2 linked regions of the Anolis sagrei genome follow. The protein of the gene in region 1 binds, or shares a complex with, the protein of each later gene. Links are inferred from orthologs where the notes say so. Each region holds a gene or a part of one and is shown in the gene's direction. Other genes may lie near its edges.

Evidence for each region.
Region 2: the proteins of WDR48 (region 1) and USP46 are in contact, whole or in part, in a crystal structure (PDB 6JLQ), measured with the Homo sapiens proteins. The link is inferred for Anolis sagrei from reciprocal best matches to the Homo sapiens genes WDR48 and USP46. Residues at the interface, in NP_065890.1 of Homo sapiens: Arg50, Trp77, Asp118, Tyr119, Lys121, Leu137, Arg139, Ser170, Tyr172, Thr188, Asp211, Asn212, Lys214, Ser230, Gly254, Trp256, Arg272, Ile364, Leu424, Lys425, Gly521; in NP_073743.2 of Homo sapiens: Arg181, Leu183, Asn184, Cys185, Glu186, Thr187, Cys222, Ser223, Glu224, Lys226, Cys232, Cys233, Ser234, Lys235, Gln236, Glu237, Gln239.

What each region holds. Positions count from the first base shown.
Region 1 is NC_090026.1:123,937,678-123,945,668, forward strand, and holds the start of WDR48 (WD repeat-containing protein 48), read left to right. Parts: upstream 1-4,958; 5' UTR 4,959-5,006; coding exon 5,007-5,054; intron 5,055-7,991. UniProt on the Homo sapiens protein: Regulator of deubiquitinating complexes, which acts as a strong activator of USP1, USP12 and USP46. Enhances the USP1-mediated deubiquitination of FANCD2; USP1 being almost inactive by itself.
Region 2 is NC_090025.1:75,293,735-75,301,104, forward strand, and holds the start of USP46 (ubiquitin carboxyl-terminal hydrolase 46), read left to right. Parts: upstream 1-4,318; 5' UTR 4,319-4,798; coding exon 4,799-4,834; exon of another isoform or gene 4,835-4,847; intron 4,848-7,370. UniProt on the Homo sapiens protein: Deubiquitinating enzyme that plays a role in behavior, possibly by regulating GABA action. May act by mediating the deubiquitination of GAD1/GAD67.

The sequences.
Region 1 (7,991 bases):
ACTGTGGCTGGTCTTGGCAGAATTCCTGTGTTCCATGGCCAGTAATCCCAGAGGCTTCTGTTTCCAAGTTCATGGTTAGTAAAAGGCTAACAGACTCTTGGTTATTGTTTTGTGGCTTTTGAAGTTTTGCTCAAGTTCAGAGATCCTATTGACTCCGGTGTTTTTCTGTGTTTTTTTTTACTCTGCATTTACCTTTCTTTTGTAACCAATTTTTCATCAATAAACAAGGATTGCTTTTCCTACAGTCCAGAGTGGTGGATTTAATCTTATGGTCTTGTTTCTTGAACTGGGATGCAACACATACAGTGGGTTATTGGGTGTCTTCTGTCCGAATTTGGTGTCAATTCGTCCAGTGGTTTTTGAGTTCTGTTAATCCCACAAACAAACATTACATTTTATTTATATGGAAGTCTAGCTGCCCCCTGCCACGTGTTGCTGTGGCCCAGTCTGGTGATCTGGAAAATAAAGTAATGAGAAAGTGTTGATTTCGAATATATGTAATGTCTTTCTGCTTGTGGGTAAACCGTATTTCTTGTTGTTTCTTTGTCAGTGTTGATGTGGAGAGTGTCTGGTTTGCCCACTCTGGAACATGCAACATATCATTGTCCTTCTTTAGGGGTCCCTTTCAAATCTCTGATACTATATCTGTGTGTGTGTGGATCATATCTCTATATATATATCTATGGCTGGATGGCTCTTTGTCAGGAGGGCTTTGATTACGTTTTCTTGTCCTGGTGAAGGGAGTTGGGCTGGATGGCCTTAAGTATTTTCTGTTGGTCATGGGGTTCTGTTTGGGAAGTCTGGCCCAAGTCTGTTGTTCGTAGTGTTCAGAATGCTCGGATTGTAGGTGAACTATAAATCCCAGTAACTACAACTCCCAAATGTCAACGTCTATTTTCCCCAAACTCCATGTTCATATTTGAGCATATGGAATATTTGTGCCAAGTTTGTTCCAGATCCATAATAGTTTGAGTCCACAGTGTTCTCTGGATGTAGATGAACTACAACTCCCAAACTCAAGGTCAATGCCCACCAAACCCTTCTAGTGTTTTCTGTTGGTCATGGGAGTCTTGTATGCCAAGTTTGGTTCAATTCCATTATTGGTGGAGTTCAGAATGCTCTTTGATTGTAGGTGAACTATAAATCCCAGCAACTACAACTCCCAAAAGATAAAATAAATTTTTTTGAGTAATGGTCACTTCTTGGGTTAGTAGGTGTCTTGTGGCCAAATTTGGTGGCAATTCATCCAGTGGTTTTTGAGTTCTGTTAATCCCACAAACAAACATTACATTTTTATTTATATAGACTAGCCACCCCCTGTCAGGCATTGCTGTGGCCCAGTCTGGTGAGGAAGAACTTCCTGACTGTGAGAGCCGTTCAGCAGTGGAACTCTCTGCCCCGGAGTGTGGTGGAGGCTCCTTCTTTGGAGGCTTTAAAGCAGAGGCTGGATGGCCATCTGTCAGGGGTGATTTGAATGCAATATTCCTGCTTCTTGAAAGGGGGTTGGACTGGATGGCCCATGAGGTCTCTTCCAACTCTTTGATTCTATGATTCTATGATTCTTTCTGCTTGTTGGCAAACAGTATTTCTTGCTGTTTCTCTGTCAGTGTTTATGTGGAGATTGTCTGGTTTGCCTACTCTGGGACATGCAACATATAATTGTCCTTCTTTAGGGGTCCCTTTCAAATCTATGTTATTGTTTCTCTGTGTGTGAATCATATATATCTATCTCTATCTATGGCTGGATGGCTCTTTGTCGGGAGGGCTTTGACTACGTTTTCATGCCCTGGTGAAGGGAGTTGGACTGAATGACTTTAAGTATTTTCTGTTGGTCATGGGGGTTCTGTGTGGGAAGTTTGCCCCAATTCCACCATTGGTGGGGTTCAGAATGCTCTTTGATTGTAGGTGAACTATAAATCCCAGTAACTACAACTCCCAAATGTTGACGTCTATTTTCCTCAAACTCCATGTTCATATTTGGGCATATGGAATATTTGTGCCAAGTTTGTTCCAGATCCATCATTGTTTGAGTCCACAGTGTTCTCTGGATGTAGATGAACTAATAATAATAATAATAATAATAATAACAACAACAACACTTTATTTGTGCCTCGCTACCATCTCTCCAAGGGACTCGGTGCGGCTTACATGAGGCCGAGCCCAAATACAATACACGCAATAATGACAACAATACAAGCAATTAAAATAAAAAAAACATGGACAATAAGATATGCAACATTAACAATAAGACAGCACACAATTAAAAATGTGGGAAGGCCAAATGTAGAATTAAAATTGAAAATAATGCTGGGGTTACAACTCCCAAACTCAAAGTCAATGCCCACCAAACCCTTCTAATGTTTTCTGTTGGTCATGGGAGTCTTGTATGCCAAGTTTGGTTCAATTCCATTATTGGTGGAGTTCAGAATGCTCTTTGATTGTAGGTGAACTATAAATCCCAGTAACTACAACTCCCAAATGTTGACGTCTATTTTCCTCAAACTCCATGTTCATATTTGGGCATATGGAATATTTGTGCCAAGTTTGTTCCAGATCCATCATTGTTTGAGTCCACAGTGTTCTCTGGATGTAGATGAACTAATAATAATAATAATAATAATAACAACAACAACACTTTATTTGTGCCTCGCTACCATCTCTCCAAGGGACTCGGTGCGGCTTACATGAGGCCGAGCCCAAATACAATACACGCAATAATGACAACAATACAAGCAATTAAAATAAAAAAAACATGGACAATAAGATATGCAACATTAACAATAAGACAGCACACAATTAAAAATGTGGGAAGGCCAAATGTAGAATTAAAATTGAAAATAATGCTGGGGTTACAACTCCCAAACTCAAGGTCAATGCCCACCAAACCCTTCTAATGTTTTCTGTTGGTCATGGGAGTCTTGTATGCCAAGTTTGGTTCAATTCCATTATTGGTGGAGTTCAGAATGCTCTTTGATTGTAGGTGAACTATAAATCCCAGTAACTACAACCCCCAAATGTCAAGGTCTATTTCTTCCAAACTCCCATCTGTGTTCATATTTAGGCATATGGAATATTTGTGCCAAGTTTGGTCCAGATCCATCGTTGTTTGAGTCCACAGTGCTCTCTGGGTGTAGGTGATCTACAACTCCAAAACCAAAGGACACTACCCACCAAACCCTTCCAGTCTTTTCTGTTGGTCATGGGAGCCCTGTGTGCTAAGTTTGGTTGAATTCCATCATTGGTGGGGTTCAGAATGCTCTTTGATTGTAGGTGAACTATAAATCCTAGTAACTACAACTCCCAAATGTCAACGTCTATTTCCCCAAACTCCACCAGTGTTCACATTTGGGCCTATTGAGTATTCTTGTAGAGTTTGGTCCAGATCCATCGTTGGTGGGATTCAGAATGCTCTTTGATTGTAGGTGAACTATAAATCCCAACAACTACAACTCCCAAATGACAAAATCAGATTTTTTTTTTTTTAGTGAAGGACATACATTGGGTTGTTAGGTGACTTATGTCCAAACTTGGTGTCAATTCGTCCAGTGGTTTTTGAGTTCTGTTAATCCCACAAACAAACATTACATTGTATTGTCGAAGGCTTTCATGGCCGGAATCACCGGGTTGTTGTAGGTTTTTTCGGGCTGTATGGCCATGTTCTAGAGGCATTCTCTCCTGACGTTTCGCCTGCATCTATGGCAAGCCTCCTCAGAGGTAGTGAGGTCTGTTGGAATTTGGAAAATGGGTTTATATATCTGTGGAATGACCAGGGTGGGACAAAGGGCTCTTCTCTGCTCGAGCTAGGTGTGAATGTTTCAACTGACCACCTTCATTAGCATTTGAAGACCTGGCTGAGCCTGGGAGAATCTTTTGTGGAGAGGTATTAAGATGTGCCCGAGCTAGGTGTGAATGTTTCAACTGACCACCTTCATTAGCATTTGAAGGCCTGGCTGAGCCTGAGGGAATCTTTTGTGGAGAGGTATTAAGATGTGCCCGAGCTAGGTGTGAATGTTTCAAGTGACCACCTTCATTAGCATTTGAAGGCCTGGCTGAGCCTGGGGGAATCTTTTGTGGAGAGGTATTAAGATGTGCCCGAGCTAGGTGTGAATGTTTCAAGTGACCACCTTCATTAGCATTTGAAGGCCTGGCTGAGCCTGGGGGAATCTTTTGTGGAGAGGTATTAAGATGTGCCTGAGCTAGGTGTGAATGTTTCAACTGACCACCTTCATTAGCATTTGAAGGCCAGGCTGAGCCTGGGGGAATCTTTTGTTGAGAGGTATTAAGATGTGCCCGAGCTAGGTGTGAATGTATCAAGTGATCACCTTCATTAGCATTTGAAGGCCTGGCTGAGCCTGGGGGAATCTTTTGTGGAGAGGTATTAAGATGTGCCCGAGCTAGGTGTGAATGTTTCAACTGACCACCTTCATTAGCATTTGAAGGCCAGGCTGAGCCTGGGGGAATCTTTTGTGGAGAGGTATTAAGATGTGCCCGAGCTAGGTGTGAATGTTTCAACTGACCACCTTCATTAGCATTTGAAGGCCTGGCTGAGCCTGGGGGAATCTTTTGTGGAGAGGTATTAAGATGTTTTTGCTGTTTTTATTTACATTACATTTTTATGTATATAGATAGCTAGATTGAAGTTATTATTGAGCTTTCTGTCATTAACATTTCCCATTGACTAGAGCTGTTGTGATACAGCAACCTTTGGCAGACTACTTGCTCTGTTGAGTCAGGAAACTCAACTGCCACTAGTCAAGTCTCGCGAGAGACAGAGAGAGAGAAACGGGAAAAAGCAAAACCCCGCGCCCGCTCGTAATAACGGCTGCCATAGCAACCCCTCAGGAGCCACGCCCCTTTCTTCCCGCCTGCTTGTTTGAGGAACAGAGGGGAAGCCCTTGACAGGCAGAGCCAGACCAAGCGGGGGCGGGACTTCCGGGCCGGCGGACGCCTCTCCTCCTCCCCCCTCCCCCCCACCCGGAAATGACGACGGAGTGTCAACATGCAAGATGGCGGCTCATCACAGGCAGAACACGGCCGGGCGGCGGAAAGTACAGGTGAGGGAGGCGAAAGGAAGGGCCGGCGAGGGCGGAGGGGGGGAGGCGAGGGTTAGGAGGGTCGAGGCCCGGCTCCTGGACCCTGAGGAGGAAGGAGAAGGGGGAAGAGGGCCAAGGTGCGGGGAGGAGGAGGAGAGGAGGGAGGCGGCTTGGCGGGAAGACCCAGGGGCCTCCGTTGTCCGTGGCAACGGGAGAACTTCCCTCAGCATCCTGCCTCTCTCCCTCGCTCCTCTTCCTCCTTCTCCTCCTCCTTTCAACCTTAATCTATATAAATACAAATGTAATGCTGGTTTGTAGGATTAACAGAACTCAGAAACCACTGGGGGAATTGACACCAAATTTGGACAGTACAGCCCTAACAAACAGTACAATTTGGACAGTACAGCCCTAAATGAAGGGCAATGAGTGTTCATCACCCCAAAAATTACAAAAACCAACAAAACTCCTAGCAGAACTGACTTAAAAAACCCAAAAATATACCATATATGTGTGTGTGTGTGTATCCATATCCATATTTTATTTATTTACTTTATTTGTATACCGCTCTTCTCAGCCCTTAAGCCACTCAGAGCGGTTTACAACAGTTTAGATATACAGAATACAAAATCATTATGCATTTAAAAACAATTACTAGTATTATATTGCATTACATTACAATATTATAAATATTATATGTATATACAATATATTATATTATAACATATTATTAGAATAGCACAGGAGACAAGGTGGAACTGTCCCCTGGCCCCTCTTTCTTCGCTCTGGCCCAGAGCGGCAGTTGGTGCTGGGGGGGAGGGGTCCCCAACGGGTCCCCCACACACATATATATACACACACATACACGAGGACAAGCCCGTCAAATACAAATACAACAATACATCAACAAACAAGCAAGCAAATAAAACAATATAAATAATACAGTTAAACATATAAGCAATAGCACACAAAAGATTTTAAAGCATTATTACAAACCCAGATGTAGATTAAAATTTCAAAACCCTGGGTGTGAACAGAGTAGGGTATGTCTACGCATGGGAGGGTTTTAAAGAGTGATATGGGGGGATCAATCCAGATAGATAAAGTGCTTATATCCATATATATATATATATACACACACATACATACATATACACACACACATATATATATACACACACACGCACACACACTCATGTACACATGCACACACAAATATACACATGCACACATATATAAACACAAATATGCATATAGACAATCACACATATACACAATATACATATCTACATATAAACACACAAATATATATGCACATATACACATCTTCACATACACATATGCACACACATATATACACCCACATATATATATATATATATATATATATATATTATATACACGCAAACACATATATACACACACACACACACAAAACACTTATATACAGACTGGGCCACAGCAACGTGTGGCAGGGGACAGCTGATAATAATGATAATGATAATAATAATAATAATACTTTATTTATACCTTGCCACCATCTCCCCGAAGGGACTCAGGGCGGCTTACATGAGGACAAGCCCATCAAATACAAATACAACAATACATCAACAAACAAACAAGCAAATAAAACAATATAAATAATGCAGTTAAACATATAAGCAATAGCACACAAAAGATTTAAAAGCATTATTGCAAGGCCAGATGTAGATTAAAATTTTAAAATCCTGGGTGTGTACAGAGTAGGGTATGTCTAGGCATGGGGGGTTTTAAAGAGTGATATGGGGGGATCAATCCAACGGATAGATAAAGTGCTTCAGAGGACATATGGAAGGAAATTGGTCAGATCAAGCATTATTTCCTTCATTCAGGGAAGGCACACTGGAACAGCCACGTTTTCAATCTCCTCCTAAAGACTGCCAAGGTGGGAGCTTGTCTGATAACTTTAGGTAGAGAGTTCCAGAGTCGGGAGGCCACCATAGTGAAAGCCCTCTCCCTCGTCCCCACCAATTGCACCTGCATGGCAGAGGACAACTAGTAATAATAATAATAATAATAATAATAATAATAATAATAATAATATTTATTTATACTCCGCCACCATCTCCCCGAAGGGACTCAGGGCGGCTTACATGAGGACAAGCCCGTCAAATACAAATACAATAATACATCAATAAACAAGCAAGCAAATAAAACAATATAAATAATACAGTTAAACATATAAGCAATAGCACACAAAAGATTTAAAAGCATTATTGCAAGACCAGATGTAGATTAAAATTTTAAAACCCTGGATGTGTACAGAGTAGGGTATGTCTAGGCATGGGGGGTTTTAAAGAGTGATATGGGAGGAATCAATCCAACAGATAGATAAAGTGCTTCAGAGGACATATGGAAGGAAATTGGTCAGATCGGGCATTATTTTCTTCATTCAGAGAAGGCACACTGGAACAGCCATGTTTTCAATCTCCTCCTAAAGACTGCCAAGGTGGGAGCTTGTCTGATATCTTTAGGTAGAGAATTCCAGAGTCGGGGGGCCACCATAGAGAAGGCCCTCTCCCTCGTCTCCACCAATCAGGCCTGCGAAGAGGGTGGGAGCGAGAGCAGGGCCTCCGCAGATGAACAAAGAGATCGCGTGGGTACATAAACAGAAATGTGGTCGCATAGGTAGACGGGTCCCAAATCGTTCAAGGCTTTGTCGGTAAGAACCTGCACCTTGAATTGGGACCGGAAATGAAGGGCAGCCAATGGAGCTCCTTAAACAGGGGTTAACCACTCTCTGTAAGTCACTCCAGTTAGGAGCCTGACTGCAGCCTGTTAAACCAATTAAAATTTCCGAGCCGTCTTCAAGGGCAGCACCACGTAGAGTTCATTGCAGTAATCCAGTCTGGAGGTGACTAAGGCATGGACCACCATGATCAGATCTGACTTCACGAGCTGGTGCACAAGTTTTAATTGTGG
Region 2 (7,370 bases), on another chromosome or scaffold:
AAAGCTTAACAAAGCTTCATTTTGTGTGGACTAGATCCATGGGTTTAGAAAAGGCAGAGGAACGAGAGACCAGATTGCCAATATCCGCTGGATAATGGAGAAAGGCAGGGAGTTTCAGAAAAACATCTATTTTTGCTTCATTGACTATTCTAAAGCCTTTGACTGTGTGGATCATAATAAACTGTGGCAAGTTCTTGGTGGGATGGGCATCCCAAGCCACCTTGTCTCTCTCCTGAGGAATCTGTACAAGGACCAAGTAGCAACAGTCAGAACTGACCACGGAACAACAGACTGGTTCAAGATTGGGAAAGGCGTACGGCAAGGCTGCATCCTCTCACCCAACCTTTTTAACTTGTATGCAGAACTCATCATGCGATGTGCGGGGCTTGATGAATGCAAAGCCGGGGTGAAAATTGCTGGAAGAAACATTAACAACCTCAGATATGCAGATGACACCACTCTGATGGCCGAAAGCGAGGAGGAGCTGAGGAGCCTTCTAATCAAGGTGAAAGAAGAAACCGCAAAAGCTGGGTTGCAGCTAAACATTAAAAAAAAAAAACCAAGATTATGGCAACAAGAATGATTGACAACTGGGAAATAGAGGGAGAAAACGTGGAGGCCGTGACAGACTTTGTATTTCTAGACGCTTACTTCTTGGGAGGAGAGCAATGTCCAGTCTCGATAAAATAGTAAAGAGTAGAGACATCAGACTGGCAACAAAGATCTGCCTAGTCAAAGCCATGGTATTCCCTGTAGTAACCTACGGATGTGAGAGCTAGACCTTAGGGAAGGCTGAGCGAAGGAAGATAGATGCTTTTGAGCTGTGGTGTTGGAGGAAAGTTCTGAGAGTGCCTTGGACTGCGAGAAGATCCAACCAGTCCATCCTCCAGGAAATAAAGCCCGACTGCTCATTGGAGGGAAGGATACTAGAGACAAAGTTGAAGTAATTTGGCCACATCATGAGGAGACAGCAAGGCCTAGAGAAGACAATTATGCTGGGGAAAGTGGAAGGCAAAAGGAAGAGGGGCCGACCAAGGACAAGATGGATGGATGGCATCCTCAAAGTGACTGGACTGACCTTGAAGGAGCTGGGGGTGGTGACGGCCGACAGGGAGCTCTGGCGTGGACTGGTCCATGAGGTCACGAAGAGTCGGAGACGACTGAACAAATGAACAACAACAAGATCCATGTCTAAATGGACCTTGGGCAAGATTGTTTCTGTTGGCTCCCTCTTGAAGGTCAGAAGATTTTTTTGAGGTTATATGACAGCAGCAATAGTCAAACTTCGAAGGTGATGAGAATTACAAATGTAATTTTCCACAATGCTCTGGAAAGTCTGACTTTGTTGTGATGCCATGCCTAGCCCTCCCCCATGTCAATAAAATAGATCTGTGAAGAGCTCACAATGCTTTGGAAGCCGGTGTCTTGGAAGTTGGATATCAATTGATAATGGGTTAGTGGCATGGGTAATAGGCAATGTCCTCTTCTGAAAGAAGAATGGGGGAAAAAAGAATTGCAGATTTGTAGTCTTATTACATACACTCATTTGGAAGTTCTTTTTCACAATAATTCACAATGAGGGTGTTGTGTGGTTTCAGGACTGTATGGCCGTTTTCCAGCAGCATTTTCTTCTGATGTTTTGTGTTCTGCACTGAAGATGCCAGCCACAGATGCAAGTGAAATATCAGGAGAAAATGCTTCTAGAACACGATCATACAGCCCAGAAACTTCTTATACGAAAGCTGAATGGAACAACCTGAGGATCACAACCAGATACAGTGAAGACATCTGCTCTTGCGCTATGCTACTCTGCTGCTGAGTATGCATGCCCAGTGCAGAACACATCTCACCACACTAAAACAGTGGATGTGGCTCTTAATGAGACATGCTGCATTATCACAGGGTATCTGCGCCTTCCACCACTGGAGAAATTACACTGTTTAGCTGGTATTGCACCACCTGACATCCGCCGGAAAGTGGCAGCCAATAGTGAAAGGACCAAAGGCAGTGACATCTCCAGCTTGTTTGGGCATCAGCCAGCATGTCAATGACTTAAATCAAGAAATAGTTTTCTAAGATCTACAGAGACATTCGCTGGAACACCTCAGCAAGCGAGAGTCCAAAAGTGGCAGGCTCAAACCCAGAACCTCAACCAGTGGCTGATACCAAATGAGAGACTCCCCCCTGGGCACACAGAAGACTGGGCAACTTGGAAGGCGCTGAACAGACTGCGCTCTGGCACCACAAGATGCAGAACTAATCTTAAGAAATGGGGCTACAAAGTGGAATCCACGACATACGAGTGTGGAGAGAAGCAAACCACTGACCACCTGCTGCAATGCAACCTGAGCCCTGCCACATGCACGATGAAGGACCTTCTTGCGGCAACCCCAGAGGCACTCCAAGTGGCCAGATACTGGTCAAAGGACATTTAACCAACTACCAAATTCGCAAAATCTGTGTGGTTTTTTTTCTTTTTCTTTTTAATCTCAGTGTTTTGTTCTGCTCTGTTAGAATTGTAATACAATGGTTGCTGATGACACGATAAATAATAAATAGTTCACCTACAATCACAGAGCATTCTGAACCCCACCAACTATGGAATTGAACCAAACTTGGCACAACAGAAAATACTGGAAGGCTTTGGTGGGCAGTGCCCTTTGGTTTTGGAGTTGTAGTTCACCTACATCCAGAGAGCACTTTGGACTCAAACAGTGATGGATCTGGACCAAACTTGGCACGAATACTCAATATCCCCAAATGTGAACATTAGTGAAATTTGGGGAAAATAGACCTTGACCTTTGGGAGTTGTAGTTACTGGGATTTATAGTTCACCTATAATCAAAGAGTATTCTGAACTCCACTAACAATAGAACTGGGCACACAGAACCCCCATGACCAACAGAAAATACTGTGTTTTCTGATGGTCTTTGGCGACTCCTCTGATGCCCCCTCACGACCCCCCCAGGGGTCCTGACCCCCAGGTTGAGAAATGCTGCTCTATGTACACATAATAAAATACATAACAAAAGCCAATAATTATATATAGTTAAAACATTAAGTCAATATAATTAAAAACTGCTAACAATACCAGTCTAGTGGCCATTATCTAGCTGAATTCTGTGGTTGGAGACTCCATCAAACTTATCCATAGTCCATTATCATAGTCATTGTCATCATTGCCATTGTCCGCATAGTTACTCAAATGCCTGGTCCCACATCCATGTTTTTAATTTCTTTCTAAAGGAGAGGAGGGATGAAGATAACCTAATTTCCCTGGGGAGTGAATTCCACAGGTGGGGGCCACCACCAAGAAGGCCCTGTTCCTTGTCCCCACCAAGCCCGTTTGAGACAGAGGTGGGGCCGAGAGCAGGGCCTCCCCAGAAGATCTTAAGCTCCAAGATGAGACATAGAAAGAGCTACGTTTGGACAGGTACACTGGGCTGGAACCGTATAGGGTTTTATAGGTCAAAACCAGCACTTTGAATTGTGCTCGGAACTGGATCGGCAGCAAGTTCAAAGCAGATATTGTGGGATTTTCTGTCTTGATATTCTGGGATATAGTGCTGTGTGGAAGGGCCCCTACAATTAAATAGTCATAACTGCCATGTATTCATGATCTTGATGTAGTGCCTTTTGGGGACCTTGAAAGTCTCCCAAATCCCACTTACTGGTAGGCAGCTGTTGGTATCAATATGGAGCTCTCCCCCTGTTGATCAGCCATCCCTCAGATGGGAGGGGAATTCACCTACGTAACTGGTGGACTTTGGGGAAAATAGAATCTTGACATTTGGGAATTGTAGTTGCTGGGATTTATAGTTCACCTGCAATCAAAGAGCATTCTGAACCTCACCAACGATAGAATTGGGCCAAACATCCCACACAGAACTCCCATGTGGGCCACAGCAAAGCGTGGCAGGGGACGGCTAGTAAACTATAAATATTGTGAAATTATGGTTTGTTTCTCATAGTGACACCCCACCTGAGTTATACTCAGTTTTTGGGCGAATTTTAACACACCAAGCTCAAAAGGTTGCCCATCACTGGCCTAAGACAATTTGGGGTCTCCTGCAACAGGGCAAACGTTGTCAACAGACAGCAGGCATCAAGTGGCAAGGCCTCATTAGATGTAATTGTAGAAGAAGCCTTAATTATTATTTTTTCTGGAGGAACTCAAGCCAAACCCAGGCCAAGGTCCCTTTCCCCCTAAAACTCTTCTCCTCTTGGGTGCCCCAGTGGGTGGGACCATCCCCTTTGGCCTTCCGCGCCTCCCCATTGGCTGCCTCCCTCCAATTGGGCCAAGCGGTTGGTTGCCGGCCACGCCACTCGCGGGGATTGACCTTCCCTTGTTTTCAATGCCGCTGTCAAAGTTGATCACTGGGGCGCTGCTCGGCGATGGAGAGAAGGGAAGAGGAGGAGGAGGAAGAGGAAGGAGAAGAAGAGGAAGCGGGAGAGGGGGATTAGTAGTAGTCCAGTCCTAGCCAGGACACAGCGGATCCCTGTAGATCTAGGCGATCGGTTCAGCAAATAAGGAGAGGGCTAGGGAGGCGGCGCAGTGGAGAGAGAGGAAGGAGCAGCCGGCAAAGGCAGAGAAGGAAGGGCTGGAGGCTTGGCTCATCCCTCTCTCTCTCTCTCTTCCCGCCGTCTGATCCTCGGATCCCCAAGCTAGAGCTTTCCTCCTGCCCCTGTCTCTCTTTCCTCCTCCTCTTCCTCCCCCCCCCCCTTCCCCCAACCATGACCGTTTCGGGTTTCACCTCATAAAGATGGCGGTGGGGGATCGCTGCAACCTTTAGACTCATGACTGTCAGAAACATCGCCTCCATTTGTAATATGGTGAGTACTGGAGGGCAAGGGCTCTGCTATGATTCTTTTTGGGAGGAGGAGGGGGATCGGATTTTGCACAAAAAGCAGGAGGTGGGGCTCCTTCTTGCCAGATTTCCAGCACCGCCCTTTTCCTGAGAGTAAGGGGCCGCCCAACCCTGAGGAGTCCTCCTTGCACAAGGCAAAACCCCGCCTTTTCCAGGAATGGCCCCTCATAGGTGGGATCTGCACTCCAAACCGCCCAGAGTTATGTCTCTAAGGGTGCATCTGCATTGTTGAATTGATGCACTTTGGCACCACTTTTCACTGCCTTGGCTCAATGCTGTGGGATCTTGAGAAATGTAGTTTGACAAGGGCCCCTTTCCACATCTGTATAAAACTCCACATTATCTGCTTTGAAGTGGATTATATGCCAGTGTCGACTACAATAACTCAGTTCAAAGCAGATATTCAAAGCAGGTTTGGAAGTGATCCTGGACTCATCGCTGAGCCTGGAACCCCAGGTCGTGGCGGTGGCCGGGAGAGCTTTCGCACAATTAAAACTTGTGCGCCAGCTGCGCCCGTACCTTGGGAAGTCGGATCTGGCCACGGTGGTCCACGCTCTTGTTACATCCCGGTTAGATTACTGCAATGCACTCTACGTGGGGTTGCCTTTGAAGACTGTTCAGAAACTTCAATTAGTCCAGTGGGAGGCAACCAGACTGCTCACCGGAGCGTCATACAAGGAGCATACCACCCCCTGTTATGTCAGCTCCACTGGCTGCCAATCCAATTCCGAGCACAATTCAAAGTGCTGGTTTTGACCTACAAAACCCTATATGGTTCCGGCCCAGTGTATCTGTCCGAACGGCTCTCCTTCTACGTCCCACCTCGGAATCTAAGATCTTCTGGGGAGGCCTTGCTCTCGACCCTACCTCTATCACAAGTGAGATTGGCGGGGACGAGAAGCAGGGCCTTCTTGGTGGTGGCCCCTCACCTGTGGAATTCACTCCCGGGGGAAATTAGATCGGCAACATCCCTTCTTTCCTTCAGAAAAAAACTGACAACAGGGATTTGGGATCAGGCATTTGGACAACCTGGCAGATGAAAAAGGACGTGGCGATAGACTGGAATTGACAAATAGAATGGAATTATGGAACTCTGAAAGACGCACGCTGAGCTTGTGATTAGTTTTTAGTGATTGTGTTATATATTGATTGTTTAATTGTGATAAATGTTGATTGCTGTTTTTATATGTACATGTACTCTATGTAGGCATCGAATTGTGCCTTTTTTGTAAGCCGCCCTGAGTCCCCCCCTTGGGGTTTGAGAAGGGCGGGGTAAAAGTAACTGAAATAAATAAATAAATAAATAATAAACTTTATTTATATACCGCTTTATCTCCCCAAGGGGACTCAGAGCAGTTCCCAGGTAACATCACAAAACATACAGAGTAAAAACAACATAACCATAAGATTATCAAACAAAATATAAGCATAAAAATTGTCACCATAACACACATATATTAAAAGTAATCTTCGATGTTCAAGGCAATTAAAAATTTAAAAGGCCGGGCCAAGATTTGTGCAAGCCCAAAAATTCTTGCCCGGGAATTAAGTGCAATGCTATGGCAGGCAAAAATAATATTAGGTATGGGTCTGTGGCTGTTCATTCTGGGGCCCGAACCAGAAGGAGATGCGATCGCAGAGATAGGCAGGGCCCGAACTGTTTAGGGCTTTATAGGTCATGACCTGCACCTTGAGTTTGGCTCAGCAACTTATCGACAGCCAATGAAGCTGTTTTAAGAGGGGTGTTGTATGCTCCCTATAGTTTGCTCCAGTAAGGAGCCTGGCAGCCACCCGCTGTACCAGTTCAAACTTCCGGGCCGTCTTCAAGGGCAACCCCACATAGAGCGCATTGCAATAGTCCAGTTTGGATGTAACCAAGGCGTGGACCACCTTGGCCAAATCATAGCCTTGAGCTGTAGTGGCTAAAGTGGGCCCTATATTCCACAATATAGGGCCCTTCCACACAGCCCTATATCCCAGAATATCAAGGCAGAAAATTCCACAACATCTGCTTTGAACTGGGTTATCGGAGTCAGATGATGTGGGATTTCCTGCTTTGATATTCTGGGATATAGGGCTGTGTGGAAGGGCCCACAGATGCATGCTCTCTGTGTGTATTGGAAAAGGTGCAGAAAGGCAGCATCAAGCAAACAGGGATGATACTTGAAGTGTGTGAGGCATATAATCCAGATTATCAAACTAGATAAGCCTCATTATATGCTTTGAACTGGATTATATGAGTCAACACTGCCATATAATCCAGTTCAAAGCAGTCAATCTGGATTTTATATGGCAGTGTAGAAGGATTATCAATGCAGACAACAACAGCAACAACAATAAACTTTATTTATATACTGCTCTATCTCCCCGAGGAGGGCTCAGGGTGGTTTCCAAGTAAGATCACCAAAACATACAGAGTAAACAGCATGACATAAAATTAACAAAACAAATTAGCATAAAATTATCACAATAACACATGTATATTATAAAATAATCCTGCC